Linked DNA regions of Kluyveromyces lactis. The protein of the gene in region 2 interacts with the protein of the main gene of each other region in a pairwise test. Links are inferred from orthologs where the notes say so. Each region holds a gene or a part of one and is shown on either strand. Other genes may lie near its edges.

Region 1 (16,890 bases), on a different chromosome or scaffold from region 2:
AAGGGTGGCTTATTCCCCTGTCTCGATTGTTTAGAAACACTATCTTTAATATTCTACTCGTACGTTCTTCTGTTTAACCGTGCATTGTATTGCTTGAATCTCAAGTAGGCTGACCTGACTTCTTGTAATCTTCAAGGTAATGTCAATATCTGGTCCCAGTTGTAATAATTCAAATTTTCTTTTTTGTTTTTCACGCTCTGCGATAAGCTGATTATTCTTTGATAATAATGGCTTGAAATTTCGTACTAAGGTCAAGAGATGCTCCATGATATGAATAATGAGATAAGGTAAAAAGGAATTTATCTAACTGGATGCACGGATAAGCAGAAGGGTTTATCTCCAAAGTTTAAGGTTCAGAAATGTCTAAACGGTCAGGCACGGAAATTGTTGATTCCGGATTGAAAAAACCGAAAGATGCATCCGTATCGATTGAATCGGGTTATCATGGGTATAAGATACTTGAAGACGGAATTAGATTAGATTCAATCCCCATTCCGACAACAAATGAAGGAATTGAAGACTTTTTTGAGAATTATGTGAAGAAGAGGAAGCCGTGTAAATTTAATCAGGCATCTAAAGATTTCAATTGGAATCTTTTGAAACCGGAAAATATCAAAGAAACGTTAGATAATGAAGTGTTGCAAATAGAGCAGAAATCAAACGGTGGATTCGGATCTGGCAGCAAAAGAGTGTTCATGAAGTTTCATGATTTTATAGACAAATTACAAAATGGTAATCACGATTTATATTTGACAACCCAATATGCTGAGCACGAAATAGAGGGAGAAGGTTCACAAGATGAGGAAGAGACGCCGTTAGATGACGACGAAGAATCGGAGGAGGAAGACTCCGCTGAATGTGGGAGAAATATGTTTCCAGATGACGTTTCGGAAGTGGGCTCTGTGGATTCAATAAATTTCAATGACCTTCGCGATGATTTTGAGGAAATGCAAGAAAATGATGACAGTGATGATGGAAATGAAGAGGGAAGTGCCGACGATTTAGCTGCTGTAAGGGAACTATATCAACCTCCGCTTGATAAGTTAGTAAACGAAATTCCAGAGCAATTACACTTCTTGAAGTTAGTGCCCCAACAAATAAACATATGGGTCGGATCTGCCAGTGAAAAGGATAGTGATCAAAGTTTTCTTGGCAATTTCGACCCGAACGATGAAAAATTAGGTCTTGGACGAAATATTCCAGGAGGTGGATCATCATCTGGACTTCATCATGATCATGCCGATAACATATATATTCCTGTAAGTGGCCGTAAAAGGTTTACCTTGTTTGCTCCGTCAGATGTCACTAAGATGTACACCGTTGGAGACGTAGCCAACTTATATGATACTGGGATCATTAATTACAAACGTAACGAAAATGCACCTACATGGGATAAGCTACGAGCCGACGGTGCTATTGAAACACAATATGCGCAGTATAAGCTTGATGATCCAAACATCCCAGAACCAGATAGAAAAGAGTACAATATGATACTAACTAATGAATCGGAAAATGACATCAAGAAGCCGACCGATAATCAATCGACATTAGACCCGCCTTCCTTTTCTACGATTCCACCAACCGTGGTTCATTTAGACAAGATAGAAGATCAAGAATTAAGAAACAATATTGAAGAACTTGCTAGGAAAAAATGGCCCAAATTTTTCACAGCTCATCGGACGACAATAGACTTGAAGCCTGGTGAAATGCTATTCCTTCCTACCGGATGGTTTCATGAAGTCACTTCTTTTGGGTCAACAGACGGTAATAAAGACAGCCATGATATTCATGTAGCTGTAAATTACTGGCTTATGCCACCAACTGGAAATTCCATTAACAACATGTATAAGGATGGCTACTGGAACAGTTACATGGACAGCATCTCGAATGCCTTGCAACGCGTAAGACAAAAATCGGACAGACTTTAAACAAGGCACGAAGCGGCACCCTCTTGTGACTGTTTTCCAGATAAGGAAATTTGTTCTTTTTGTTATCGAAATTCCTGCGAAAATCCCCAACTAAGATGACTCCATCGCATGTGATGTATGGGTGTTAACTTAAATCCTTCCTTGACTTGTTTCTATGAATAGTTAATATGCACGCATATGATGAATATCTAAGCAAACTTTAAGTAAGTACTGGTAAATTAAGATATCATGCACTCACTCAAGATAAATTGCTGCTGAATAGAAGGTCTTGTTTCCATATTATTTTCTGATCGGAACCCACGCAGAATCTCCTTTTTTTTTTTTTTTGACAATCTGAAAATCTAATCGTTCTCTGCGTAATTCGTCACTTATCCGATTTAAGTCATATTCAACTTGAGTGGAACTTCTTGCAATTCCACTCTTGCTAACTGATTATTGAAAACCCAAAGTGACAGTTATACAAACTAGTGAAAAAGCCGATCTTGTTGGAACGCATAGCTGCTAGCATCCTTCATAGTTCTGCCTTTTTTTTATCTCTATCTGTTTGAATCAGAAGTCCGTTAAGTTTTGAAAAAAAACCAAACCTTAACTTGACGGCCGTGGTGTCTTTTTGTTTCTGGATTATCTAGGAAATAACACTGGAGTCAGGATCATTTGACGGTTCCGTAAACCCATTTGTGTTTGATTTTAGCAATTCTTTTTTCTTACCAACTGTTCCTGTGTTGTGTCAGCGTCGTTTTTCCCCTCTGAAACGACATATTTTTATTGAGAAAATATATCTATTGATACAGGCTCAAGAAGTAGGTTGGAATAGCTGCCAATACATTTATCATACTGGTAAGTGCAGTTTATACAAGAATTCCTTCATAATTTCCCTGTTTTGGTGTCTAAGAGATTTTAATTAATTATTCTGGGCCCTTTTATCTTTTTTTTTATCGAAACATCACCAAGGTACTGATTCACAACAGCAATATTTTATTTCATTTTTTTCTCAGACCTTACATTGTTAAGTTGAAGTGTTCTTTTCTTTGAAAGTTCTTTAACAATATCTATATTTTTTCCAACCGTCAATATTTTTAACTCAGTTGCAAAAAATATCCTTCATTAATTTATCTTTTTCAAGATGGCCTTGGCAAATTCCAGACCATTGGATATTCCTACACTGGACGATGAACTTATTGCAAATTCAAAGTCGCCATTGTTTGATGCAAGCACTTTAGCTAACAGTGCCAAAGCTTTTCCAGAGTCTGAGTCTGACAAAACCAAGCCTAGTGGGAAGCATGATTCGAAAGCGAAAAAGAACTCTAATGGATCACTTGCTTCTTCTCAGTTAACCGATGTCGTCTCCATTTCGAAAACGATTCCAGTGACAGGAGAAAGACCGAAACCAGAAAACAATGGCCCCACCTTAAATGAAGATGATGTGTTGTACGCAATTTTTGTCATTTTATGGGAAAGCGATCCAGGCCAACAAGGTATGACTGTCAAACAGTTATGTGATTTATTATTGGAAAAGCACCCTGAAATGAACAATTTGTCAACAAAACTCTCTAACTTGATATCTGCAAAACTGAATGCGTATGTCAAAAAAGTTGAGAAGGGTGAAAAGGGCCTTTCTTATGCTCTTTCTCGTGAATGGTCTGATGCATCTCCCAGAAGAATGGTGTACATCTATCGCGGTATTCTCGCACCTGACTATCAAAAACACGCTCAAGCTGCAGCTGCAGCTTTAGCTGCAGCTTCAACTCAGTTATCTGATAATGGTTCAAACCCAATGGGAAAGAACAAGACAAAATCTAAGAAGCAATTGGCTAAGAGCACCTCAGACTTAGGAATGGAAATTGACGGATCACAGAGTACAGATTACAAGGATGGGGCAATCCCTAGAAGTTCAAGTGCTATGAGTGGTCTCAAATCATCTACTTTCTCTGCGGGCAATTTTGTTAATGATTTCAACATCCCTTATATGTCCTCACCAGTATCAGTTAGCTTAACACCAAAATTGGAAGAGCTGTCTTTGTCTCATGTGTCTAATGATCTCGACATAGATTCTCATATCACCCTGACAGGTAAGAGATTGTCTATGGGCCAAGATCGTCCTGGCAAAAAGATGAAAATGGAGCAAGTTTCAAACTCTCTAGAGTTACAAGCGGGTCAAGTTCAACAACAACAACCTGTATACATAACAATTGCTAGTTCTACTCCAAGACTTTCAAGGAATTCATCTAAACACCACGATTCAAACAATACTGCGACAAGTTCCGAGACTGCGCAGACCGTTGCAGAAATTCTCAAAACTGTAGTAACGCAGAATCCTATTGTTATAACTCCAAGGTCTTCGAAGGCTTCGTCACCACTTGCTTCCGCGGCAAGCAGCCAAGACTATACGAAACATACAAAGGAAAAAAGCTGCCAATGGTTACGCTCTTTGAGAGATGGCTTTTTGCTGGAGGAAATTCCAACCCCAGAATCTCTCTCTCCTGATGAGCTTGATGAATTTTTCACATAACGTATTATCTGTTCATTTTCCCCCTTTTTTATGTTAGAGAGGCTATATTATAATGTCAACTTCTATCCCGGTGAACCTGACTCTCTTACCAGCTTCGAATCGGATTCATCGGTCTTTCAGGTCCAATCTGATTCGTATATCCTGTATTATTATCAAACTTCTTTTTTGCAACTATTCTTTGCTATACTGTGAACGTAGAAATTCATCTACCGCTGCCAGTATTTTGCATCTTATTAGTCACCATCTATTTCCCACATTCATGTCATGTTACGTTATTCTCTAGGTCATACGTTGCTTTATTTGTAGTTAAGTATGACTATAGATTGGTATTTTTATTATTTTCATACATATGTATGTATTAAAGCAATCCGGTTTTATCATTATCTTTGCTTTCACAACTGTTGTTAGCCGCAAAGTTTACATATCCCTTAAAAATCATACATTGGGAAGGATGCCAAGTGTTACAACAACCTCAGTGCAGCTTCTCCACAGGTACTTCATAGCATGATTAACCTGTATTCCGTTACTGATGTAGCAAAAATTACGACATCTTTATTAGAAATACTTGAAAAAATATCAAAAAATTAAATATTTCAGTTTTCATATTAGAAAATCAGAGTCATTGAAAAATTTGGCGATATGATTATATATTCTGATATCGTATTTAACAGAAGAGCTCATCGTCATATGATGGTTTTTGAAAGGTAAGAAGCGACCCAAAAATTAATTGAAGAAGGACTTAAAAAAAAACAGGGTACGACCATCGACGGATTTACGGAAACATTCAAGTGTTCTGTAGTCTTTCATCAGTTATAATGTTATACAGACAGGTTTTGAAAAGGCCGGCCACGGTGCAAAAGTACGTCAGTCCAGTCGTCTCTAATGGACTTGTCAGATACTTTGCATCTACTCCCCAGAAGCTACAATTGCACTTGCAATATTTCGGTAACAGTGCGAAGCGGTTGCATGTTATAACTCGATCATTTTCAACTACTTCTCGTAAATGGCAGTCTGTAGAGATACCATTTCAGAAAATGACAGAGGACCAGCAAGAGGCTTTGACAACTGAAAGACCAGTAGATAAGGTAGATTTATGCATTGTAGGTGGTGGGCCGGCAGGGTTAGCTGCTGCCATTAAGTTCAAACAACTAGACAATGAACATGGTAACGGAGAATTGCGTGTTGTCGTCTTAGAGAAGGCTCCGGATATGGGCTCACACATTGTTTCCGGTGTTATCTTAGAACCAAGGGCATTAAGGGAGTTGTTTCCTGAAAGCGAATATTACGACGAGGATGGTAATGGGATTCCTCTTCCTCCAGAGCTAGTTACCAAGGTAGAACAGGAGGAGCTGAAATATTTGGTCGGGAATATCGCGTTACCGGTCCCAGAGCCTCCACAGATGATGAACATAAACAAGAACTACATAGCATCTTTATCACAAGTGGTTAGGTACTTGGCAGAACAAGCCGAAGAGTTAGGAGTTGAAGTATTTCCTGGTATCTCTGTCTCCGAGGTGATTTATGGTGACGATGGTGAATCCGTTATCGGTGTTGCAACTAAAGATATGGGTATATCGAAGACCGGTGAACCCAAGGAAACATTCGAAAGAGGAATGGAATTCCATGCTAGACAAACGATGTTTGCCGAAGGTTGCCACGGTTCCTTGTCAAAAGAACTAATAAAGAAGTTCAAGTTAAGACATGAAAGAGACAATCAAACATACGGTTTAGGAATCAAAGAAGTGTGGGAAGTAAAACCTGAAAACTTCAATAAGGGCTTTGTTGCACATACTATGGGATATCCTTTAACTAATGACGTGTATGGAGGTGGCTTTCTGTACCACTTTGGTGAGGGTTTAGTAACAGTAGGTTTAGTCGTGGGTTTAGATTACAAGAATCCATACGTGTCACCATACCAGGAATTCCAAAAAATGAAACTGCATCCTTATTACAAAAAAATCCTTTCTGGAGGTACCTGCATAGGTTATGCAGCTAGAGCTCTAAATGAAGGTGGTCTCCAATCAGTTCCTAAATTGAACTTCCCTGGTGGATGTTTGATCGGTGCTTCAGCAGGTTTCATGAACGTTCCTAAAATCAAAGGTACACATACTGCAATGAAGAGTGGTATGCTAGCAGCAGAAAAGTCCTTCGAAGAGATCATAAAGTTGCCAACCTTGGAAGAATTAGAAGCGAGTGAAACTGAAAAACTTGTCGCACATCCAATTAACCTAGAGTCTTACGAGACCGCATTCAAAGAGTCATGGATATATGAAGAGCTTTATGAAGTGCGTAATATTAGGCCTTCATTCGGAGCAACACCACTAGGGGGTTTCGGTGGTATGGCATACTCAGGTGTTGATTCTTACATACTCAAAGGCAGAGTTCCATGGACGTTCCATCACCATGCATCAGATGCTGCTATAACAGCATCTGCAGATAAATACAAACCCATAGATTATCCAAAACCCGATGGAAAGATTACCTTTGATATCTTAACATCAGTATCAAGAACTGGAACGTATCACGATGATGACGAAAAATGCCATTTAAGAGTCCCTGAGCAAGATATGGAAAAACATACTAGTATTGCGTATCCAAAATGGAAGGGAATCGAATCAAGATTTTGTCCAGCTGGTGTTTATGAGTATGTTGAAGACGAAACCTCCCCATTGGGTGTGAAATTCCAGATTAACTCACAAAATTGTATTCATTGTAAAACCTGTGACATCAAGGTTCCAACTCAGGACATTAATTGGGAAGTTCCTGAGGGAGGTGATGGTCCAAAGTACACACTTACCTGAGTTTGTTAAATTAGTCAGAGTAAAATTTGGCCTGAAATATTTATTTATCTAATATAATTTATTTATTCATATCTGTAAAATATGATTTTCATTAATAACTGAACTTATATTAAATCAACCAAGTGAACCTGTCAAACTGGAATTGTCTTCATTTACCTTTGAAAAACGCCAAAAAGTGAAATCTATGTATAATACAATCAAAGGTAAAATATTATTAATATGTCTCAGTTTGTATAAGCCCAAACGTTCAATAGTCTTTCATTACTCTCTTTCAGCATATCTTTTACAACATACCAATCATCATCACTTTCCAACATCACAAAATCACCATCTTCATCCTGGTATTTTACCTTCGTGATTACTCCTAAATGTGCCAATTTCCTTTTAATCGCAAGCAACAGATCTTCCGCAGAACAGTCTAAGGATACTAAGACTGTGTAAAAATCGTTGTTGAATGAGACCCTCAGTAGAAGCATAGTGTCAGGGATTGAATTTTTGTAACTTTCGGATATAGATCTGTATTCGCTTGCAAATGACTGACGGGCATTGGACATATGGCTTTTGGGAAGGACTTCTGAGATTTGTCTGGTCAGAGTGCTACCAATGGAGGCAACACTGTTGTGAGAATATTGGACTGGTGAGGAGAATGACGACATATCGCTATTCGTATTGACACTTTTATAGGACTCGCTGCGAATTTGACGAAGAAGCTGATGAAGGCAGCTTTCCCAGTTGTTGCGGGTTTCTTCATTTTTGAATTTTAGTATGAAGTTCCCCTTTTCCTTGGCTGATTCCCAAATAATGTTCAGGGAATAGTTATCAATCGGAGCGACTTGAGTCAGGTTAACTATCATAATTCGACCTCTTAAATCCAGTTTCCCAGTGTTCTTCGTGAAATCATTCATGTTAGTGTTCGAAGAGTTTGAAAGATGAAGAACAGATGATGAATTCGATTTCTTTTTTAAACTTATTGAGCTTCCTTTCTTCTGGCTTACCTCACTGAATAATAGTATGATTTTTTCGAATAGATACACTTCAAAATCTTTTTCTGGCTCATTGGAATTGCTCGTTGATATTGATATTCTATCAAAGTACAATAACTCACCAAACTTAGCGATGCGGTAACCCTTCCAATTTACCACACGACCATAGAGACGTTTGACAACCTCGTAATTTTCTGTTCTCCTTTGATTTTCGTTAATATTCCTTGCAATGGATTTGGCAATACCCAAGGCAATCTCCAATTCTTTAGAATCACTTTCTGCGTGTTGTAAAAGATCTTTGAGAAGTAATGGGTATCTACACAATCTTTGGACTGGTTTGAGAAGGAATGATTGCAGTTCCATTTTATTACCGATGACAAAATTAGTGCTATTTGGGTTCATTTTGTTGAAACTAGACGAAATGAAATCAATCGCTGCATTTTGACCTATGGACCAAGGTTCATATAGCTTGAAGAAATATTTGGAATGCATGAATAAGGCCCCGATTCTTTGTTTTTGAGATGGAACTTGACCGTTGACTTCTAATGACACTAAAAACCGTCTTTGGAAATCGATTATGTCATTCAAATTGGGGAACAGCATGTACAGTTCTTCCGAGTTGATAATTTGGTTGTCTAAAAGTTGCTTCCTATACTTATTCAGAACTTCTAGATCATGCACGTACTTTCTCTCAGTCTCGATGAATTCTTTGACAATTTTATCATATTCTGTCTGTGGTTTCGCAAGACGTTGAGATTCCAACTGTGTGCTCATATCAATTTGTGGGAATACTTCAGGTGCAGCATTCAGCAACGTATTCACAACGTCCAAAACTTTCAAGAAATGATCTGTCGAATTTGAAAAAACGTCAGAAATGGTGAACAGTTCTTCGTCATTAAATGCAAAATGTTGTTTCAGACCAAGAATGAAGTCGTAGATAGATTTTTTACAAATCTTAATATCATCTGACGAGACCACCGTTAGCTTAGATTGAGGTCTTACGGCATTGAATATAATACAAAGTGGCGAACCCTGTTGAAATAGTTTAGAAAGTTGCGTTACAGGGTCACAATCGACAGATATAGGCGTAATACCAACAGAAAAAGTCAGTAAAGTGTCCTCCATATTAAAGGACTGAGAATGCTCAGAGTCCTCTCCAAAACTCGTAGCCGAGAAACTAGAGTCCCTATGAAGAGTACTTGAGGAGGAAAGTCTACCATTTGTACTTTGTGCACTACTACCTTCGTAATGCGAACCTCGCTGCCGATGTTGCTGCTGTGACTGCTGTTTCTGCGATAAAAGCAGGGCTTGGTGTTCTGCTAGAATCTCTGAACTCGAATGCGCTAAATTCAAATATGGTTGGAGCTGTGGCAGAAACTCTAATCTCTTCTTGATCATTAAACACATATGATATAATGACTCCTGTGCTGTCACCTTTTTGTTCATTAATAAATGTGTGCTATTTGAACGCACACTCGTCAGCGAAACATTGGATACTGATGGATTTACCGCCATTATGGCAGGCTGCAACTAAAACAGAATTATTCTCTGACACTCCTAGATAGTAAAAACCTTGTTTGTACAGCTCTGGAAGACTTACAACGATAAGAATTATTTTAACTTCACTTCGAAGACACTGGCTGTTTCGTTAATTTCAGTATTGTTTTATTCTATTCTTTTTTTTTTTTTCTTTCAAGAGTAATGTCAATACTGAGATCTCTGGGTCAAAACCTTTGGGGCCCGAAAACATTGTTGTGGATCAAATTCTGGAGGTTCTTTTTATATAGGAGATACTTCTCAGTGGTATTTAAGAGTATAACACCAATTAGCGGCACTTGCCAGGTGTCGTGTAATAATCCTACATATCTGGCATTGAATATTGATATACGCTAGAGTTTCGTTCTATAACTGGAAAATAAGAATTACAAGTGTCAAACTCACACATAACTTCTATATATGTACTTTTATAGAACAGTAGTACAATTTCTCTTTCTATCTATCTTTGCTTAAGAGCTCTTCTTACCCCAAATAGATTTTTGTGCTCTGTATGTGATTTTGTCAATGACAGTACCAACTGCCAAGACACCACCAATACTTGTGATACAATTCAAAAGGAAACCAGACCATGATGTTGCATGCTGTTCTTTATTTATGACTTTTAAAGGCGACATCTCAAAATTGAAGAAAACACCTGGGACACCTCCTTTAGAATGAACAGTGTTTGGATGGTCTTCGTCCCTGCCCCCTCTTAGAGGCCTATCGTGGTACGTGGCGCTGAATTGAGTAGTTTCAACTTTTTTACCATCTAAGAATTCGAATCTGGTAGGAATGATCTTGCAGAAGTATGAGAACTCATGGAAGTGTGTGTCGCGGTCTGGGAACACTTGGCGGCTGTCTAATGGTGAAATTGAAGCAGAACCGATCAATTCGCTGTCTCCATCCTTGGGTTTCTCTCCAAACGTCAAGGTGTTGATTATATGGTTGAAGTTCAAATGTGGGTATGCATCGTATAGCGAAGTGTCGTGGAAATGGCCACGGATATTACGCATTGAACTACCTGGACCGAAGTGGATGGTACCTTGTATTCTGTTTAATTGAGCACGTCCTTGAACACGACAACCTTCATGTATTCTGGCATTGATGCTCTCAACATATCCTTCACGTTCACATTGTTCCACACCTTTACCATCCTTGAATGCCCATCCTTTTTGTCCGTAGGCTGCACGCACATCGTCACAAGTTTGACAGCATACTTTTTGATCTTGTGGTAGCTCGTCATTCTTTGATTGGTCTAATGCACCATAACATGGTCCACAGTATCCTTCTTCGTTGAAGCTTTGCTTTGATGATTTGTCACCAACTTGGAACTTCTCCTTAGAGAGTTCCTTCCCTTCTGGGCTAATTCTGATCTTCGTGAATCCCGAATCTAATAGGTTAATCTGAAATTCCCCAGAATCGTCTAATATATCTAGATTTAATACGTTACATGGCATCGAAGGAAATGTCACATCCAAGTTGAGATCCAACTTCAAATGACGGTCTCTATCAACCACGAGATCAGGTCTAGTGACAATAGTGCTGAATTGCTTCCATTCGCTCACCAATAACAACATCGTTATAATGATACATGACACCGTGATTAATCCACCTGTTCGTGTACGGACACGGACATCCTCCTCTGTTTTACCAAAAGCATCGATGGAAAGTAACGGCGATTTCTTCATCTTGACAAATTTGTGTAGACAGATACTTGCGTTAGCGAATTCTCCGTGAGTAGTGTAGTATTTCCGTATCCTAAACCTATTCTATTCCTATGAGCATGTGTAATTGTGAATGCTAGTATATGTCAAATTGGAATTGATTTTGATATTTTTTCACTTTTGCCTATATTCAAAATCAGATTGAGAAGCAACCTAACCTGTACCAAATATACATGAATACTGACAACTGTATATACACACACTGACCATTCGGTGTGAGGTCCAATGTCAGGTTGAATAGTAGTTGATAAACTGTAAGTTTGATTGATATATACTGATTTACATGTTATTATATAAAATTAAGCTTTGATTAGCAATAAAAGTTGAATAAAATTGCGTTGATGCTTCGTGTTAACGTTCATGAATCAGGTAAACAGAGTATGGTAAAATATTGTGTGACATTTGCAGCAAGGAATGTGATTTGATCCGATGCTTAGGAATCATTGCTTTCATTATATTTCTATTATTACATGGTTATGAGAGGCTCAGTTAAAGAAATGGATGGATCGCAAATATAACAAGTAACACAAAGTATCCTCTTGCTCGCGGCTACATACGCAGATTTCTTTACCTTATAATAAATCTAACATACAAGCAGATTACCTGGCGTATGGGTGGTATCCACGTCTATCTCTGCTTCCACCGCCATACCCATTACCACCACGGCGGGAATCACGATCACGGCCACCACCTCCGCGATAGTTTGAAGATGGGCCACGACAGCTGTCACGGTCGCGGTTAGACGAGCCATAACTGCTACGATCAGAGTTGCGATCGTATGCTCTGTGTCCTGAACGACGAGAATCATCACGGCTTGATGAATTATCGTATCTTGAGTCATCTCCAGATTCTACTCCACTGTTACTACGGTTGCCATTATTTGAGCTCCCAATAGTAGTGACACCATTACTGTCGTCGTTGTGTTGAGGGGTGGATGAATGGCTTGGTGGAGATCCTGCACCACTTTGAGAAGGTTGTTGGCCTGCAGGAAGACCGCCCATCATACCCATCATCTGTTGCATTTGTTGCATTTGCTGTTGGAACATTTGAGTATAATCGATACCAGTTTGTTGTTGCATTTGTTGATAATACTCTTGCATCTTAGTGTAGTATTCGTTCATCGATTGAGGGTTGAAACCAGTGGCCATCATAGGATTGAAACCGCCTGCCATCATTGGATTTTGGAACATCTGATACTGTTGCATTGGGTTGCTCATATTTTGTCCCATTGGTTGAGTCATTTGAGGTTGTTTTTGCTTTTGTAATTGTCTAGGTTCAGCTCTCTTGATTTCTATTTGTTTACCCTTGAACTCAATAAATTTGTTTTGACAAACTCTGTCAACTGCATCTGGTGTATCATAAGTAATGAAACCAAAGCCTCTAGATCTACCAGTATCTTTGTCTAACATTAGTTGGGCATCAATGATGGATCCCCATTGAGAGAAAAATTCTTCAAATTCTTTTGGTCTGACGTCTGGACCAATACCACCAACGAAAATTTTACCAGTCTTATCTTGTTCTTCCCTTGGAATGGCTCTCTTTGGATCGATAACCTTACCGTCTAAGATATGTTGTGTTTTAACGACTTCATCGACACTAGAAGCGTTTTCAAATGTCAAGAACCCAAAACCTCTGGACCTACCGGTAGCAGTGTCCTTCATAATCTTAACTTCAGCGACTGCACCGTATTTGCTGAAGTAATCACGTAAACCCTCTTCGGTGGTTTCCCAATTTAGACCACCAATGAACATCTTGTTAATGTCACGAGACAAATCAGCTTTGATAGCCTTTGGTTCATGCTGAGATGCAGTTTGTTGCAATTGAGACATAGTCTGTTGCAATTGTTGCAACTGTGACATATCTGGCATACCTGGCATCTGTGGCATTTGAGGCATCTGCAGCATTTCAGGAACGGAAGCACTGTAGTTTTCCTTGTTATTGTTTTCAGCCTTGTCATTATTGGATGCAAGATTAGAATCTGGTTGATTATTTGAAGAGGCAACCTGCTGTTGCAGTTGTGACAGGTTAGATGACAAAGCCTGTAAAGCTGCTAGTTGATCTAATTGAGATGTTGCCGCGGTGGTGTTTGTGCTACTACTATTAGCCTCTTTATTGGTAGTTGAAGCTTGATCTTTGTGATCATCTGTCGAGCTATTACTAACGTTATTTTGATTATTATTACTTTGAGTATTATTTTGATTATCTGTAGATGTTGCAGTTGATGAAGTCGACTCGTTATTGTTCACCGTGGTTTGAGCGGTATTTTCATCACCGTAGATGTCGTTAAAATCTTCATCGTCTGATAAACTCATCTTGAATGCAATATTTCAATTTCTTCTTATTCGTCTACTTGTTGCACCGTTCACTTTACCACTTGGATTTTCTTAGTTCTGTACACTAAATATGATAAATCTGCAGTAAACGTTTGTAAATATAAGTACGATAACGCTGTGTAAGTTTCCTGCGCCGTTCCTCTTCCGCTCTACTTAAATGATCCTTGTTCTTTTTGTCTGTATGGGGATTTTATAGCTTAAACACAGCAACACACAGCAAAGTTTAATGTTATACGTTAAAAGTAGTAGTAGACGATAATAAAGTAATAACTGAGATCTAATACAGTACGAAAATAAAACAAATATGAGCTATTTCCGGTAACAATGGTTCCTCTCTCCTAGTTTGCAATTTCTAAAACTCTATTGAAAACAATCGGTATCTTATAAATGAAAAGAAAAAGAAAAAATACAGTGTAAATATTCTTTGTTCCGTTGATTATTTCGATTCGCTAATGATATACGGGTACTTCTATACTTTTGAATCCTATATCCTTCCCTAACTCGTTTTAGTGACTTGATTATCTCTTTAGACTGTCTAATCACCTGGAAAGTGGTAAACAAACAGGAAGAAACATTCTGCCCCTTCAATTTTTCTCCTGTACTGCTTTTATATTCAAATTAATTTTTTTTTTTTTCCAATGGCAACAACTTGGCCCCAAAAATTATTCGCTGTTCTTAGTGAAAAATTCATGCTTTAGGGCCTTTTTGGTTGTCATTTTGTCGATTTCGCCTTGCAAAAAAAGAAACTTTTTGACAACTCGTCCCAAAACTGCGCCCAAACAATCAGAAACACCGGGTAATGAAATCCTATATACCTTTCTTTACTCATTCAACGCCGACTTCAGCTAAACATGCAGAGAAAGCGAAATATCGAGATGAGCTGCGATGAGATGAGATCCTCTTTAATCGAAAGTGCGACTTCTCAGTTAATCACTTTTCGTACTTCCGGATTTAGAATTAATACAAACGCCAGTTATAACCATCATCTATGGCTAGGAAGCGGTATCTTTTGTTTATGGTGCAGGTGCACTTAAATTTCCGTCTAGCAGAATTGGAATCACTAGCGGATCTGCATGGAGTTGATGTCGACTTTTCGAGTTATTCTGTCGATTCACCATTCATGATAGTTACCTTGGAAAATGATAAGCAAGCCAGTGATTGGATTAGGAGATCGGTGCTTACAAGAGCCATTTATGAGTACTGGGGTGAAGGTAATACTTATGAGTCGTTGCACAAGAGTGTCCAAGCTCATCCCGAGTTTGAACAGTATAAGAGCGCAAATGAAAGAAAGAGTTTCAAGTTTGAATTTGAAAAGTTTGGTGGTAACGCGAAACAGGATATTTCTACGAGAGTGACAACCATTGAATCTTTCCAGTACCTTGAGTTGAAGGGACCCATCAAAATGAAAAATCCGGATGAAGTTTTTACGGTTATTGAAGAATACAAAGCTATCAGCGAAAATATCGGGGGTGAGGTTCCAGAAAAGATCTATTTCGGAAGGTTAATTCAACTAAGCGATCGTGCACGGGGTGCACTAGAGAAGTATGACTTGAAAAAGAGACCTTACAAAGGAACCACATCATTTGAAGCTGAATTATCACTGGTAAGTGCAAATATTGCACAGGTAAAACCAGCACATATAATGTATGATCCATTCGTTGGTACTGGTTCATTCCTGGTGGCTGGTGGCCATTATGGTGCTCTTGTCTTAGGGTCTGATATTGATGGTAGGATGATCAGAGGGAAGGGACAACAAACTATCAAGGCAAATTTCAAGTATTATAAAGAGTCTATCCAATTCCTGGACGTCATGACAATGGATTTTACGCATAATGCATTGAGAAAGGACTTTGTCATTGATACGATCCTTTGTGATCCTCCATACGGTATTAGAGAATCGATTAAAGTTCTTGGAGCAAAGGATCCGGAGAGATTTGCTGGGAAAGAGGATGTGGAAATTAACGGTCAAAAAGCTTATCTACTTAGAGACTATATTCCAACTAAAAAACCGTACTCTTTAGATTCCCTATTAGACGATTTGTTGGATTACGCAAGTCAAAGACTCCCCATTAATGGTAGATTGGCTTTCTGGATGCCCACTGCCAATGACGAGAATGTTGCAACTATAATTCCTCTTCATTCGAATTTGGAACTGAAGTATAACTGTGTTCAAGATTTCAATAAATGGTCTAGAAGATTATTGGTGTATATCAATAGAGGACACGAATTTAATGGACCCAACAATTCTGGTTTGAGTAGAACTGGTAATTTCAGAGATAGATACTTCAGCGGGTTCAATTGATATTATTGGACCTGATATAAGGCTAATAATAGACATCTGCTCACTCTAGCATTACACTATAATATGTATCATTAGTTAAAATACAAATTAATATTTATAAAATCGATATTATTACATTTATTATACACAAAGTTACAATGACTGACAATATTATACAATATTATACATATTCCTTGCATATCATCTTCCACTGCCAATACTTGGTATCATGACGCTATAACTTGAAATTCATTACTAAGTGCAGCAGGAACTCGTGGAGCCTGGGTTTGAACCATCGTCGTTTTGGTTATTCAATGGTTTATTCAAATCCACAGTTTTGGATTTATTCTTCATTAATCTCTGTCGCACGCCACGGGGAGTGCCTGGAATATCCTCCAAACTACTTTCACTATCTTCTGATTGGTCTGATGAAATTACTCTAAGCTCTCTGTCATCCTCATAACACCCGCTTTCTACCAAATCTTTAATAATAATATTGAATGTCCTTTCTACCACATTCTCCCATTTACAACTAACTTCAAAGTTACCTGATATTTTTATATTATAATCTTTCTCAATCCTGGAAATGAACTGAAGTACGTCTTCATGCGTAACTTTCCTTTCCTTATATAAATCGAGTTTGTTCCCCACTAGATAAAACCGTGTCATGCTCAAATTAGGAATATTCTCAATGGATTCAACCAACCAGAAGTTCAAGCAATTCAGGAAACTATTGAAGTCACATATATCATAACTTAAAATCACTCCATTAGATCCTTTATATAATGAAGAAAT
Region 2 (12,250 bases):
CTCGACGATGATTTCCAGCCTGGGAGTGAAGAGGAAGAAGATAGAGATTACGTGGAAGGAATATCAGGATTTCGTGATGCTAGCTCGGATAGCTCAGAAGATAGCTCAGATTACGATTCAGAAGAAGATGATGCTGTATTGAGCGACGTACGAAAACAGAAAAGAGATATTGAATCTGCATCTGACGTGTATGATTCCGACGAAGATTACATTCAGACACAAGCTAAAGATTTATTGAAAGACGAAAGTCCAAGTACGGAAGGCGGAATTCGTAGATCGAATAGAGTCAAAGTTGCACCGCTTGAGTACTGGAGAAATGAAAAGATCGTGTACAAGAGAAAATCAGAGAAGCCTGTCCTTGAGATTGAAAAAATTATCACGTATGATCATGATCAGGATGAAGAAGAGGAGCAACTACTGAAAAGTAAACGTGCTAAAAAGCAGGTAATGAAAACCAAGACAAGACCGTATAACTACATTCCGTCCGGTAAACCTAGAGGTCGACCACGGAAAATTAAGCCTGTGGATGATCAGAACATTACCGATCCAAACGCTCCAATTATTCAAGATATTCAGCAAGGAACTTATCCAAATGCTGAATGGCTGAAACAAGGTATTCTTCAATCAAAGGTCAATGTTACAGCTGATGAGAAGAAAGAACAGAATATATTGGCTTTTGCTCCTGGGTTAGCACAAACTGAACAGGTTACAAGCACAAACCAGGATAAATTTACTTTATCGATTTTATTCGATAAACACAAAGAAAGGTTTGCCAGCGGTATGCTTAAGCTTCCGCTCGATGGAGAAAAGACCCCTAGTGATTCACATAACGCTTTTATCAATTTTTTCGTTGTTAAAGGTGTTGTTGAAATATCTGTGGGTGATAACAAGTTTGTGTGTACAACGGGTTCTTCTTTTCAAGTACCGGCGTTCAACACTTACGGTTTTCTCAATAAAGGAATGACAGAAGCGCAACTTTTCTTCGTTCAAACAACCGTCCCTGAAGATTTTAATGGTGCAGATGACATTTTTGAAGATTCGGAGATGTCTTCTAATAAATCTTCGAGCGATATGAGTCTCACATCTACCTAATGTGAATGAAATATTAATAACACAACTATTCTATATAGAAAAAATAAAGTTTTAAATTCATGTAATGCCGTAAAACAGAAATGATTATGATTGTTCATCGTATTTGTCTTCATCGTTTTCATCATCTTCCATACTTTCTGCTAGTTTCTTCATCCTTGCCAGTTTAACCAACGGTGCAAGGGAGGTGTTCTCTTCCGCAATTTCAGTGATAAATGGATCTTCAAGAAGATCTGCTGCGGTTCCTCTGTCCTCTGGATCAACCATTAAACACCAATTTAAGAACATAGCCATTTTATGACTTAAATTTCCAGGATCCTTTAGCTTTGGCGTACCATTGGTAGCGATCAAATATAGAGCTCTTAGTGGTGTCTCATTCAGATATGGTGGTTCACCTTCTATCATTTCAATGATCATAATACCAAGAGACCAAATATCAACCTTTGGTCCATATTCTTTTCTTGATACGACTTCTGGGGCCATCCAGTACGGAGTACCAACCATCGTCGTTCTCTTCAAATTTACCTCGTTAATCTGAGCACAAAAACCGAAATCTGTTAGTTTGATGTCTCCGTTCATGGATAGCAAAATATTGTCTGATTTAATATCTCTATGAATGACTCCCTTTGAATGCAAAAACTGTAAACCCTTGAGTGTTTCTCTAGAGACGGCACCGATTTGCCCTTCAGTCAATATACAGTGCGTAACGACATCAGTCAACGAACCACCTTCCATGTATTCCATGACAACCCATAAATCACCTCTAAATAGGTATGAATCAATGAAATTAACAATGTTGTTGTGTTTGCTTCCTTTCATGACCAGAATTTCATTCACAATTAACTCTTTCTTGGGTTGTTTCTCCAAATTCATCTGTTTTATTGCTACTGAAGCATTTGTGCCCAATTCATACGCTGTGTAAACTCCTCCTGATGCACCTTGTCCGATTTTGATCAGATTCTTGTACAGTTTGCTTGGGTCTCCTGTTGTGCAAATCTCGGTTAATTTTGATTGAATTTGTTGATTCTTTCTTTTCCTCTCTTCCCTCTTTTTTTCCTGGGCCTTTCTTGTCTGGACATTAGAAGTATTCGATTCCTCTTTCACTTCCACAGCAAGCCCGGAAGGAATTGCAGGTATTGAGGATTGTTCCGGTGTTGTAGGAATTGCAGGTTTTGGTGGAGTAGGAGCCGCTCTTGCAGGCAATAAATTTGCTGGTTTTTCTGCAGCCTTTGGAATAGGAGGTAATGGTTGCTCACTTTTCAATGTTGGCATCTTCTTGAATGAGAAAATGCTTGATGACTGAGTATCACTTCTTTGCACTTTTGGTGTTCCATGGCCAAGCGAATTGATTGGTGAAGGGATTTCGACCCTACGGCTAACTGTGGAGGAACCTTGAGGTTTTGGAGCAGGCCGAGTCGGTATGAACTTTTCGTTGTTCACAGTTTCACTGAAATCGTTAGTGAGCAGCGGACCCTGTAAGTTACTAGAGTATGGGGTATCATTGTTTTCATTCGGAAAAGTTGCATCTGTTTGCATTTGCGGAGTTTCGAACTTCTGTACTGATGCAGTTGATGGGGTTCTGAAAGAAGGTGTAGATGCAATGTTTGCACCAGAGCCACCTCCTACTTTGAAAGTCTTGAAGACTTTCTCTTCTCCAGAGTTTTCAGTAACATCTTGGTAGAATTTTACAATATCCATCACAGCCTGGGGATGTTGCTGTTGTTCTTTCATACTAATGCCACTGGAAGTTAAAAGTTTCTCCCATTCATTTGGTAACCCTGTATATTCCCCTGTTTTGGAGTCAACACCTACATGATAAACATGCTTAGCATTATAAGGAGTAGAGATCTTAAATGCATTATTTCCACTTCCATTACCGCTTCCGCTAGAAATTCTTTTCTCTGAGTGTGAGTTCCTCTTGATGTTTTGAACGAATGTTGAGAAAACACCTTTCTTCTTAGTACCGGTCTTCCTCTTAACATCATTAGAGGAGGTGGAGGAATTAGAATTCCTCTGGGAGTGGTCAGGCGTCCCATGCTGACTCTTAACGTTTTTCCTCAGAGAAGAAAACGGAGAAGAAATGGTTCTGAAGGGGGATCTTGATTCTGATACTGGTGTTTGATTTTCGAAAAAGTTATTCACCATTACGGGAGTTTTAATTGGAGGATCCTCATTTGTTGTTTCTGGATGTGGTTCTTCTTCAGGTATTACTTCATGCACACTTACGTGTTTCGAATGATCTGCAGACGCTGTCGATGCCTTGTTGAAACTATCTGTAGATGATAATATCTCATTTAGCGGGGACTCATATACATCATTGGCATCAACTTCAGTTATAGGTGTTGTAATCTTTGGAGAATTTGAGGTTTGTGTGGAATTTAGGAAGTCAGAAGAAGTTTCCAGGGCCCCGCCCATAAGAGAGAGATCAGGTGTCATCCTCCCGCCAGTAGATATTCTACCTATATTTTGGGAGGAACCTTCTATAGTTGACATCGTCTTATCTCCAACAATAGATTCAATTGTCCCTGGCGTCTCCTTCGAAGTCAAATTATTTCCTTCTTCCACTTTTCCTTCTAGATGCGATATTAAATCTGCATCACCTTCCGATATACTTTCACTTAACACAGAACTGGAAGAGACTCTTGTAAATTGTATCGGTTCATCCAAAGTTGGCTGGTTACTATTAAAAATTTCCGAAACATTTGTTGGTACGGTGCCCGGTTTCCCTGGATCCATAGATTTATAATCTGAAAGGTCTTTGACGTAATGATCTTCGTCTGATTCTTGTAATCCTTTCACATCCAAACTCGCTGGTGCACGAGGTAAATCAAAGAGATCTTTTGAGACAGATTGTTCCCTAGTCTCCGTTACTTCTGTATGATCCTCTAGAGTTTGTACTGAAAGATTTTCACGATGTACATCCTCTTGTTTTGAATCTTGATTTTGACTTTTGCGTATGCTACTGGTGTCACTTTCTGTATTGCCACCATTTTCTCTCACGGAAAGCGCATCAAATGTGCCTGGTAACAATTCTTCAGTATATCCAGTATCCGTCATTATATGGAGACAAAGTAGTGAGTGTAGTAGCTTCTATCAAAAAAAAAAGGCCTGTGTCAAAAGATGTCTTGTGGTTAATTCTATCGACCGAACAAAAAGGAAAGGTATTCCGAAAAACACAAACAGGTCTGTAATGATTTCTAGAGCATACAACCGTCAGTAACAAAGCCTGCTGTGGCCGTGTTAATTTCTGTCAGAAAAAAAGCTAGATTACTTTGTTCAAAGAATAGAAGATCAAGTCAGATAAACAATGAAAGAAATGACAAAACGTGCTCTGTAAAATTCTTTCTACCTTCACCTCCTTCTAACTTAAAAACGAGAGCCTGTTGTGTAATTCAGTGTAACGAACGTCTTTTGATTGCTAAAATCACACTCTCGCCAAAACAAACAAATAATGTGTGCTTGTTATTAAAAAGATCCAAAAGAAGATGGTATTACCTGGTATTACTCTCTGAAATACTTGTCAAATCGGCAGAGATAGCCTGATTAATAAAATTTAAAACCTAGTTCTAACACAAGCCACAGTTAAAGCAACAATTGAGCTTGCTCGTTTCTCTAATCTGCTTATAAACATGCATACCATCTGATCTTTACATTCCGTTTGTTTAAACTCTTAAGCTTTAAATTTCAGTTTCAACATTTTCGCCAATCCCAAAGAGTAAATCCTGTCACATGTCACGAAAGTATGTGGTATTGAAATCTTTAGTTAGGGTGGAGTATGGTTAGATCTACAGACATCTCTATGTAGTTATATACATATTCTATGACAATAGGAAGGCTCCGGAACCTTCAGTCATTGCTTGTGCAATACGATCTTTGAGTACCAGTTTATCAGAGTATTTTGGTAGTTTCAAGTAATTGGCGCATGTCATAACGCTAGGTAGGCAATGGTCTGCCGAGATGTTCCCATCTGGGTGCTTCAGGACTACTGTGAATTTGGGTTTTAAGTTTTTGAAACCGCCAAGAGGTAGTTTCGGAGAGCCAGTGATGAATTGTAAGAACAAACGTTTCTGTTGTGTCGAAAAATTCGACAAAATATCTATGAGGTCTGTTATGATTGGAGAATCCATCGAGTAGCCATGGTCTGCATGAATGGATGAGTATAGCGTTTGCACAGACCAATCTTCAGCAACTGCACCAAACAAATCGGATAGTTCTGTCGGAGTTAAGATTAGCAATGATGAATAAGGGAATGATTTCGAAAATCCGTTCCTGAAGGCAGCGAGCTGCATATCTACGCCTTTGCCCAAAAATTGGTCAAAGACACGAATCAAGTACTCTTCCACGTTGAAAGATTCAACTAAGATTTTCGAACCACCTTCCAACAATTCTATATCATAACCAGGCAGCATGAAATATAGGTCAAGGTTTTTGATAGAGTCATCATGACGATTATCATACAAAAATGCGAGTGATTTTCCTAGTTGAACATCAAACTGTCCTACGAGGTGGATACAAGTTTCGAAGTCTTCTAGGTCAAGTCGATCATTCTTGCAGCATTTGTGCATCAACTCGAAGAAAACAGCGTTAAATCTAAAATCGAGAATCCTATTATCTAACATTGACCTAGCGACTAAGGTCCCCAAGTTTTCGAATAATTTCAAAGTCTTTTCGTTATTCTCCTCGGTGGTGCCCAATAATGGTCCAGGGAACAATGCACCTGTCACATACTCCTCCTCATCATCACTGGTATCACTATTGGTCTTCCACATTTTTAGAGACTTCCTTGCAAATTCTTTCGACATCAAAGAGTAAAATTCGAGAGTGGGTCCTAACCCTGTACCTTCTTCATCTTTGTATTCGATCTCCAATACGTTTGGCGAAGAACCATACTTTTTTAGAATTTTGATGCCGGACAAAAATAGTGAGTCTCTTGAAACCCTCAACTTGTGTCTAGTCAACCTGCCTAATTGATGCAATGGATTTTCAGTAGGGTTACTATGGTGCTGATCTGCCAGCTTTTCCCTCCAGTATTGGATCAATCTGCCATATCCATATGATGTATTCTGTAAGAAGTTCATTCTAGTTTCAAATGGAAACAAAAATCCATATTTTCTCGTGATATCGAGGACCCAACTTGGTAAGACCCCACATGCCACAATAAGTGGCTCTTCAAGTTGACGGGAAAGCTTAGCACTAATCTTTGGATTCACATAAATAGATGCTGGGAGTGATTTATGTTGGCAACATTGTAGAACTGTCAAAATACCATTGACAGGCTTCAAATCCGCCCCTTCAAAAGCTGTATCGGGGTAAAGCACATGCAATTGATGTGACTCCCTTCTTTTTACTGATTTCTTGAACTTAAAAGTAGGTACGTTAGTCCAGATACTCGTTGTGGGTAACCCTTCTTTCATCGCCTCTTTGAATATAATAGAGTAAATAGTTGACGATTGATCTAAAAGATGGTCATTCAACGAAAAGTCAAATTGTATGTTTTCAAGTTCTTTGGCAACATTTGTAGGGTTGGCTTGTTGATTAGCACGACTCATGCTCGGAATGATAGAAGTCAAAAATTCCGATTGCACAATCTTGTGTTTCAAGAATTCATCAAGTGTTTTCAAAGATGCAACGCAATGCACGGCAATTACAACATCTTGAAGAGTTTCTGGAACAGTATCTTTTCCCACTTCATCATCGGCCGGCTCATGAACTAATCTTATTTTCATCTGTTTGATTAACGAGGCACTTGGAGAATCGTTGCTACTGGCACCAGCATCTAGGATGGCAAAGGTTTCCGTCCTAGACAATGCATTTTGTAGTAGCTTCACAAATTCAGGCAATTTTTCCTCGAACACTTTCAGAAAAGTCCTCTTGGAGAATGATTGTTTCGTTGAATCAGTTTCAAAGATATTAGCCATAGAATCAATGAGACCAGTGGAAATGAGCTCGAAGCCAGATATGTTGGACATATCATCAAATAATGAGGATTTTACAGCAGTCCAGAAATCCATCCAATATTGTTCGGAATCAGATTGAACATCCAGTTCCTTCATCTTAGTGACAACAGCATTAATTTCAGAAAGCTCGCTGGAGACTTCTTCTTGGTTAGATGAAAACAACTCTAGTAGTGTAGCACTAAACATGGAAACATGTTTTATTAGGTAATAAGGAGTCAAATGATCGTAGATATTAATGCGGATTTTTCTCGGTTTGACAAATTCAGGTATGTTCATGTCGTCGTACTCCATCCTGTAACTGTCTTTTTCTTCATCATCATCTTCATCTTCAATGTCAGAATCAGATCCAAAAACAGGATGAGAATCAGAGTTTTCCGGACGTATATGATATCCTGACTTCTCGGCTTCATCTGATGACGATTCCTGTTTATCAATACTATCTTTCTTGCTGAGCTCATAACTGTAGTGAGAATTCAAAGAGGTTAAAGCATCTGGTATACCTTCTTTTCTTAGTTTCGGTAGATACAAATCCGGATTATTAGACATCATGATAGAAATTAACGAAAGCAGTGCTACTAGTACTGCACTGGTCTCAGTCTTCATATGATCTTGTTGCGCATTTGAACCATTGATGAGACCAGAGGATATTATGTTAATAACGGACGAACTAGGAATATCGTAGCCATGAGGTATAGACGTGAACACCCTAGCCAATGCAACAAGAACTGTATATCTAATCTTAGTATCCACTGTATTGGAATATATTTCCACCAAACAAGGAATCAACTCATTGACTAGTTCAAGGAATTTATCCTCATTTCCGTCAAATGTGAAAACTTTGACCTCATCGGCTGTCAAGATTTGAGAATCTTCAGTTGGGAGCAAAAGTAAGAGGAAAGTTGTTACCGACAACAAAAGCTCTTTAGGAACATAAATCAAAGTTTCACTGAAGGTGGAAGATGCTGATTTCTTATAAGACTGGAAAACGTTTTGAATAACTTTGTTCAACTCACAATCCAATAGGATTTGTTTTGACAATTCAACATTGGTGGAGACCAAGAGTGATGAAATATCCAAGACTTTCAAAACAGATTCACGTTCAATCTCTGAAGAAGATAACAACGACAATAACCTTTTAACCAACTCGAAGTCAAAGAGTTTAGATAATGATTTCTTGTTCAAAGATCCTGAAATGCTGTAAAGTGTTATGAGAACTGGCTTCAAAATTACTGGATTTGTACTATTTAGGAAGATAGATTTCAAGATGGGGAAAATCTCTGATACCACCTCGAAGTCACTTTCCTTAGCCCTAGCACATGAGTTCGCAACGATAGATAATGATTTTTTCTGCGCATGGACGGTAAAGAAATCCAAATATTGCAAACAAGAGAGAAGGGTACCGCTTCTTAAAATCTTAGATCCATGTACCCTTGAAATGAACTCTAAACACTCCAAAACTTGTTCTGCCAAATCGATATAGCTTATCTCATTCAATTTCCCTCTCAATATCTCAATAATATCTCTATTAACCGAAACCTCTATCATTTCTGGGTTCATCTCATAGTAGTTATAGAGACACCTACAAGCAATTAATTGTAACTCCAACTCTGCTTGTAATAATGGGCTAGACAATACATGGATCAAAGCGTCCATTAACTTGCCAGATGGGATGATTCGATCAGCGATCAAAGGGTTTAACATCAATAGCTGTTCAGATAATTCCCGGAGAGATTCCATAGCAATATACGGATCGTCTTCAGCTTGAAGCACATTCTCAATCAATTTCAAATACCGAGAATTTCCTCTGCTAACACCGAAAAACCCTTCAGACCTTCCTAGTTCTTGCAACAGATCTGGCAATGAACGTCCAAATGCACGCTCCGAATCAGCTTCCTCGCCTTCAGCAACATCACCATCCCCACTTTCACCAGATCTTTGATCCGCTAGACGAGAAACAATATCTTGTAGAAACGAAATCCTGTCCGCACGGTCCCCAGAACGGCTTTCATGATAAACATTCCCTATCTCACCTTCTACTTCCTCATCGTCTTGATCTTCATCTTGATCTTCGTCCAACTGCTCTCCTTGCGATCCATCTTCTTCCCCGTCTTCGTCTTCATCATCATCATCATCGTGATGGACAAACTCTAAATCATCTTCATCCTCTGGATAAGAATATTCGCCAGATTCAACATCATCACTTTCATGGCTACCGTTCGCATCTTCATATATGATATAGTCGCCATCGCCATCGTAATAACTCATCTTTTCAAAACCCTTTCCTGTTTCAAATCACAAATAAGAGGCAAAATTACTATCTAAAATTTCTAGTTCACAACCCGGTATCTCTTACCACCTTAATAATTGGTATCTTAGAGGTTGTTAGACTTTGGCAAGCAATACAAGAGGTATGTTTAACTCGCCGGCTGTTCATATCAAACCAACTAGTTTGTTTCCTGCTAAATATGTACTGAGATTGCAATTTCCTGACTCTGAACTTTTAAGGTACATTTTGGTCCGGTACACTGCGGTTTTATCTGAGGAAAATATACACAATACCCGTCGCCACAAGTAATGAGTCACGTGACTAAGTTTACTTCCCCATTTACAATACATCTCCGGTAATAGGTTAAATCATTACCACTATATCTACTTGCCCGATACACGATCATGCCCTATCTGTGCCTTTCTAGTCTTGATATTTGTGTTGAATTGAGATCTATTGTCTCATTGGCAATGAGTGAGAGACTCAGAAATCAGTCAAGGGAATTCATACCGGAGTTTGGTTTTGCAGTTCCTTAGAATAAACCTCTCTAACCGAGCTTATGAGAATGGCCCTAGAGCATTGCAAAAGAGCCGGTATATGTCTTACCGATTCACTTTGTGTCAGAGGTCGTTACTTTCCGTTTGGAAAAATCAAATCACGTGACTCACAACTAGAAAGAAAAAGAAAGGCGCAAATTTTTCAGTTTGAGAAAGCTCATCTCATCGCATCTACTCGATGGACCTTTCATAGTTTAAACTGATCAACAGTACTAATCGCTATATTCTATCAGTTGTATTCCTCTTTATTTATCTCTCTTCTGTAATTGAATAGTGTTCTGATAATTGTTTACTTTTCGTTACTCTTTATCATCAAGCTACTACATATACCAACCCAGATACGATGCCAAGATCTAAGCGTTCAAAGTTGGTTACATTGGCCCAAACCGATAAGAAGGGTAGAGAGAACAAGGAAAGGATATTCGATGAAGTTAGAGAAGCCTTGGATTCTTTCAGATACGCTTGGGTTTTACATTTGGAAGATGTGAGAACTCCAGTTTTGCAAGAGATTAGAAGTTCTTGGGTTGGATCCAAGTTAATCATGGGTAAGAGGAAGGTGTTGGTGAAAGCGTTAGGTGAAAAGCCAGAGGAAGAGTACAAGGAGAACTTGGCCAAACTATGTAAGCACTGTTCTGGTGTTACTGGTCTATTATTTACCAACGAACCTGTCGATGTAGTGGAAGATTACTTCAAGGCATATGTGAGAGCTGATTTCTCCAGACCAAAATCAAAGGCTCCATTGTCTTTTACCATTCCAGCCGGTATTGTATACTCTCGTGGTGGTCAAATCCCAGAAGAAGAAGATGTGCCTATGATACATTCTCTGGAACCAACTCTAAGAAACAAGTTCAAGATTCCAACCAAAATTAAGAATGGTAAGATTACCATCGAATCTCCATACTTGGTCTGTGAAAAGGGCAAAACTCTAGATGTTACTCAAGCATTGATCTTGAAACAATTTGGTATAGCAGCTGCTGAATTCAGGGTGAAGGTTGCCGCATACTACGATAACGAAACTTCTAGTGTGGAACAGATCAATATCAACATGGATTCGAAATAAATCCAAAAATAAGAAAGCATTGCAGTGATAAACTATAAATATATATATATAATCATAACCTATATATTTCTCCTTTGTACATTAATCTCTTCTCTAGGAATCCTTTATCGAATACACGTACTGCCAATATTCGGTCAGATTCTTCCAACCTTGAGACATCATTCCCAGATCTGTCGCTGACACCATTCTGATACGCACAGCGTACTGATTTTCCAGTCGAAGCGATCCATGAAGGATGAGGTTACAATGTCGCAGCTGGGAGATTGACAGATCAAGAGTTTTCTGTGTCTCTTCTGATTCCAATTGTTCTTTCGTCATTAACAGGGACTCTAAACCGTAGATGATAATTTCTTCATAGCACATCGATGTGTTTCCTTTATTCTGGAGCTCAATCTCGACATATGTCAAGTACATATATAAATACTGTAATTTATCAAGGAACAGAATCCGCACGTTGGATCGTCCCCTGACTATATCATCAATACTGTTAAAGAAATGCGTCTTGTTTTCCCGTAGATCTTGCTCGAAGAAACTTCGAGCCTTAACGCCAACTGCTATAACTAGAACTTTCTTGTTACGGTCCAATACATCACGCAGTACATCTTCCATCGGTTTATAAGGATGAAAAATAATCTTAACCAATGCTATCCTACTAGGAAATACCTTATCCTAATAAATTAATTTCACGCTTGTAAGCCGGTACATTAATTGTTTCAGATGCGTAATAGCCTTGACGGTTTGAAATGTTGATACTTAGACCACATAAAACACGTGATATTTAATTACTGAGAATATATCAAAGTATCAACTCGTATACAATGATCTGGAAAATTTTATTGAATTGGTGAATTGGACAGTTGGTTATCGTAGCGTTTGGTATATTAAATTACGATGATTTGAAGAAGGTAAAAGGTAAAGGAAGTGATTTAGTCGACATTTTGAGTGTTACCTTCACCTTATAGTGAGAACTGTATCATTTGTCCGGAATGTCTGTTAGATACTGCACCAAAAATTTGGTGGGGAGGGCGCCATTTGCCTTAAGATCAGGTGCAGTGAGACTGCAAAGTTCTTCATCAAAGGCTAGTTCCAGCGATGAGTCCAATGCTATAAAAGGCGAGAATGGTGAAGAATTACAATCTGTGGATGTAGCAGCGGCTCGTCAATCGGAATTTAACGGGAGTATATCTCAGCTTTTACATCAGGCAATGAACACACCAATAGAAGAGTTAGGAGATCTGGAAACCAAGTTGAAGTCGCCATTGACTGAGAAAGAACAACAATTGGATGAGAAATTGACTGCATTTTTGAGGAAGTACTCGAA

What was found.
Region 1: the proteins of STE20 (region 2) and CDC24 interact in a two-hybrid assay, tested with the Saccharomyces cerevisiae proteins (3 studies listed by BioGRID, with this or other methods). The link is inferred for Kluyveromyces lactis from reciprocal best matches to the Saccharomyces cerevisiae genes STE20 and CDC24.

Annotation. Positions count from the first base shown.
Region 1 is NC_006039.1:1,091,477-1,108,366, reverse strand, and holds CDC24 (Rho family guanine nucleotide exchange factor CDC24), read right to left. Parts: upstream 9,737-16,890; coding exon 7,463-9,736; downstream 1-7,462. Other genes in the region: KLLA0_C13035g (uncharacterized protein), read left to right, coding at 360-1,928; GDS1 (Gds1p), read left to right, coding at 3,052-4,437; CIR2 (electron-transferring-flavoprotein dehydrogenase), read left to right, coding at 5,253-7,238; retrograde cargo receptor ERV46, read right to left, coding at 10,228-11,445; HRP1 (Hrp1p), read right to left, coding at 12,081-13,793; TRM11 (tRNA (guanine-N2-)-methyltransferase), read left to right, coding at 14,803-16,116; Rab family GTPase YPT11, read right to left, coding at 16,351-16,890. UniProt on the Saccharomyces cerevisiae protein: Promotes the exchange of CDC42-bound GDP by GTP. Controls the polarity of calmodulin, and the calcium regulatory process of bud emergence. CDC24 may be involved in the initial selection and organization of the budding site.
Region 2 is NC_006038.1:1,183,488-1,195,737, reverse strand, and holds STE20 (mitogen-activated protein kinase kinase kinase kinase STE20), read right to left. Parts: upstream 4,147-12,250; coding exon 1,177-4,146; downstream 1-1,176. Other genes in the region: MIF2 (Mif2p), read left to right, coding at 1-1,092; putative ubiquitin-protein ligase UFD4, read right to left, coding at 4,908-9,311; mRNA turnover protein MRT4, read left to right, coding at 10,213-10,929; SHU1 (Shu1p), read right to left, coding at 11,023-11,538; MRP4 (mitochondrial 37S ribosomal protein uS2m), read left to right, coding at 11,916-12,250. UniProt on the Saccharomyces cerevisiae protein: MAP4K component of the MAPK pathway required for the mating pheromone response, haploid invasive growth and diploid pseudohyphal development. Links the pheromone response G-protein beta gamma subunits to downstream signaling components.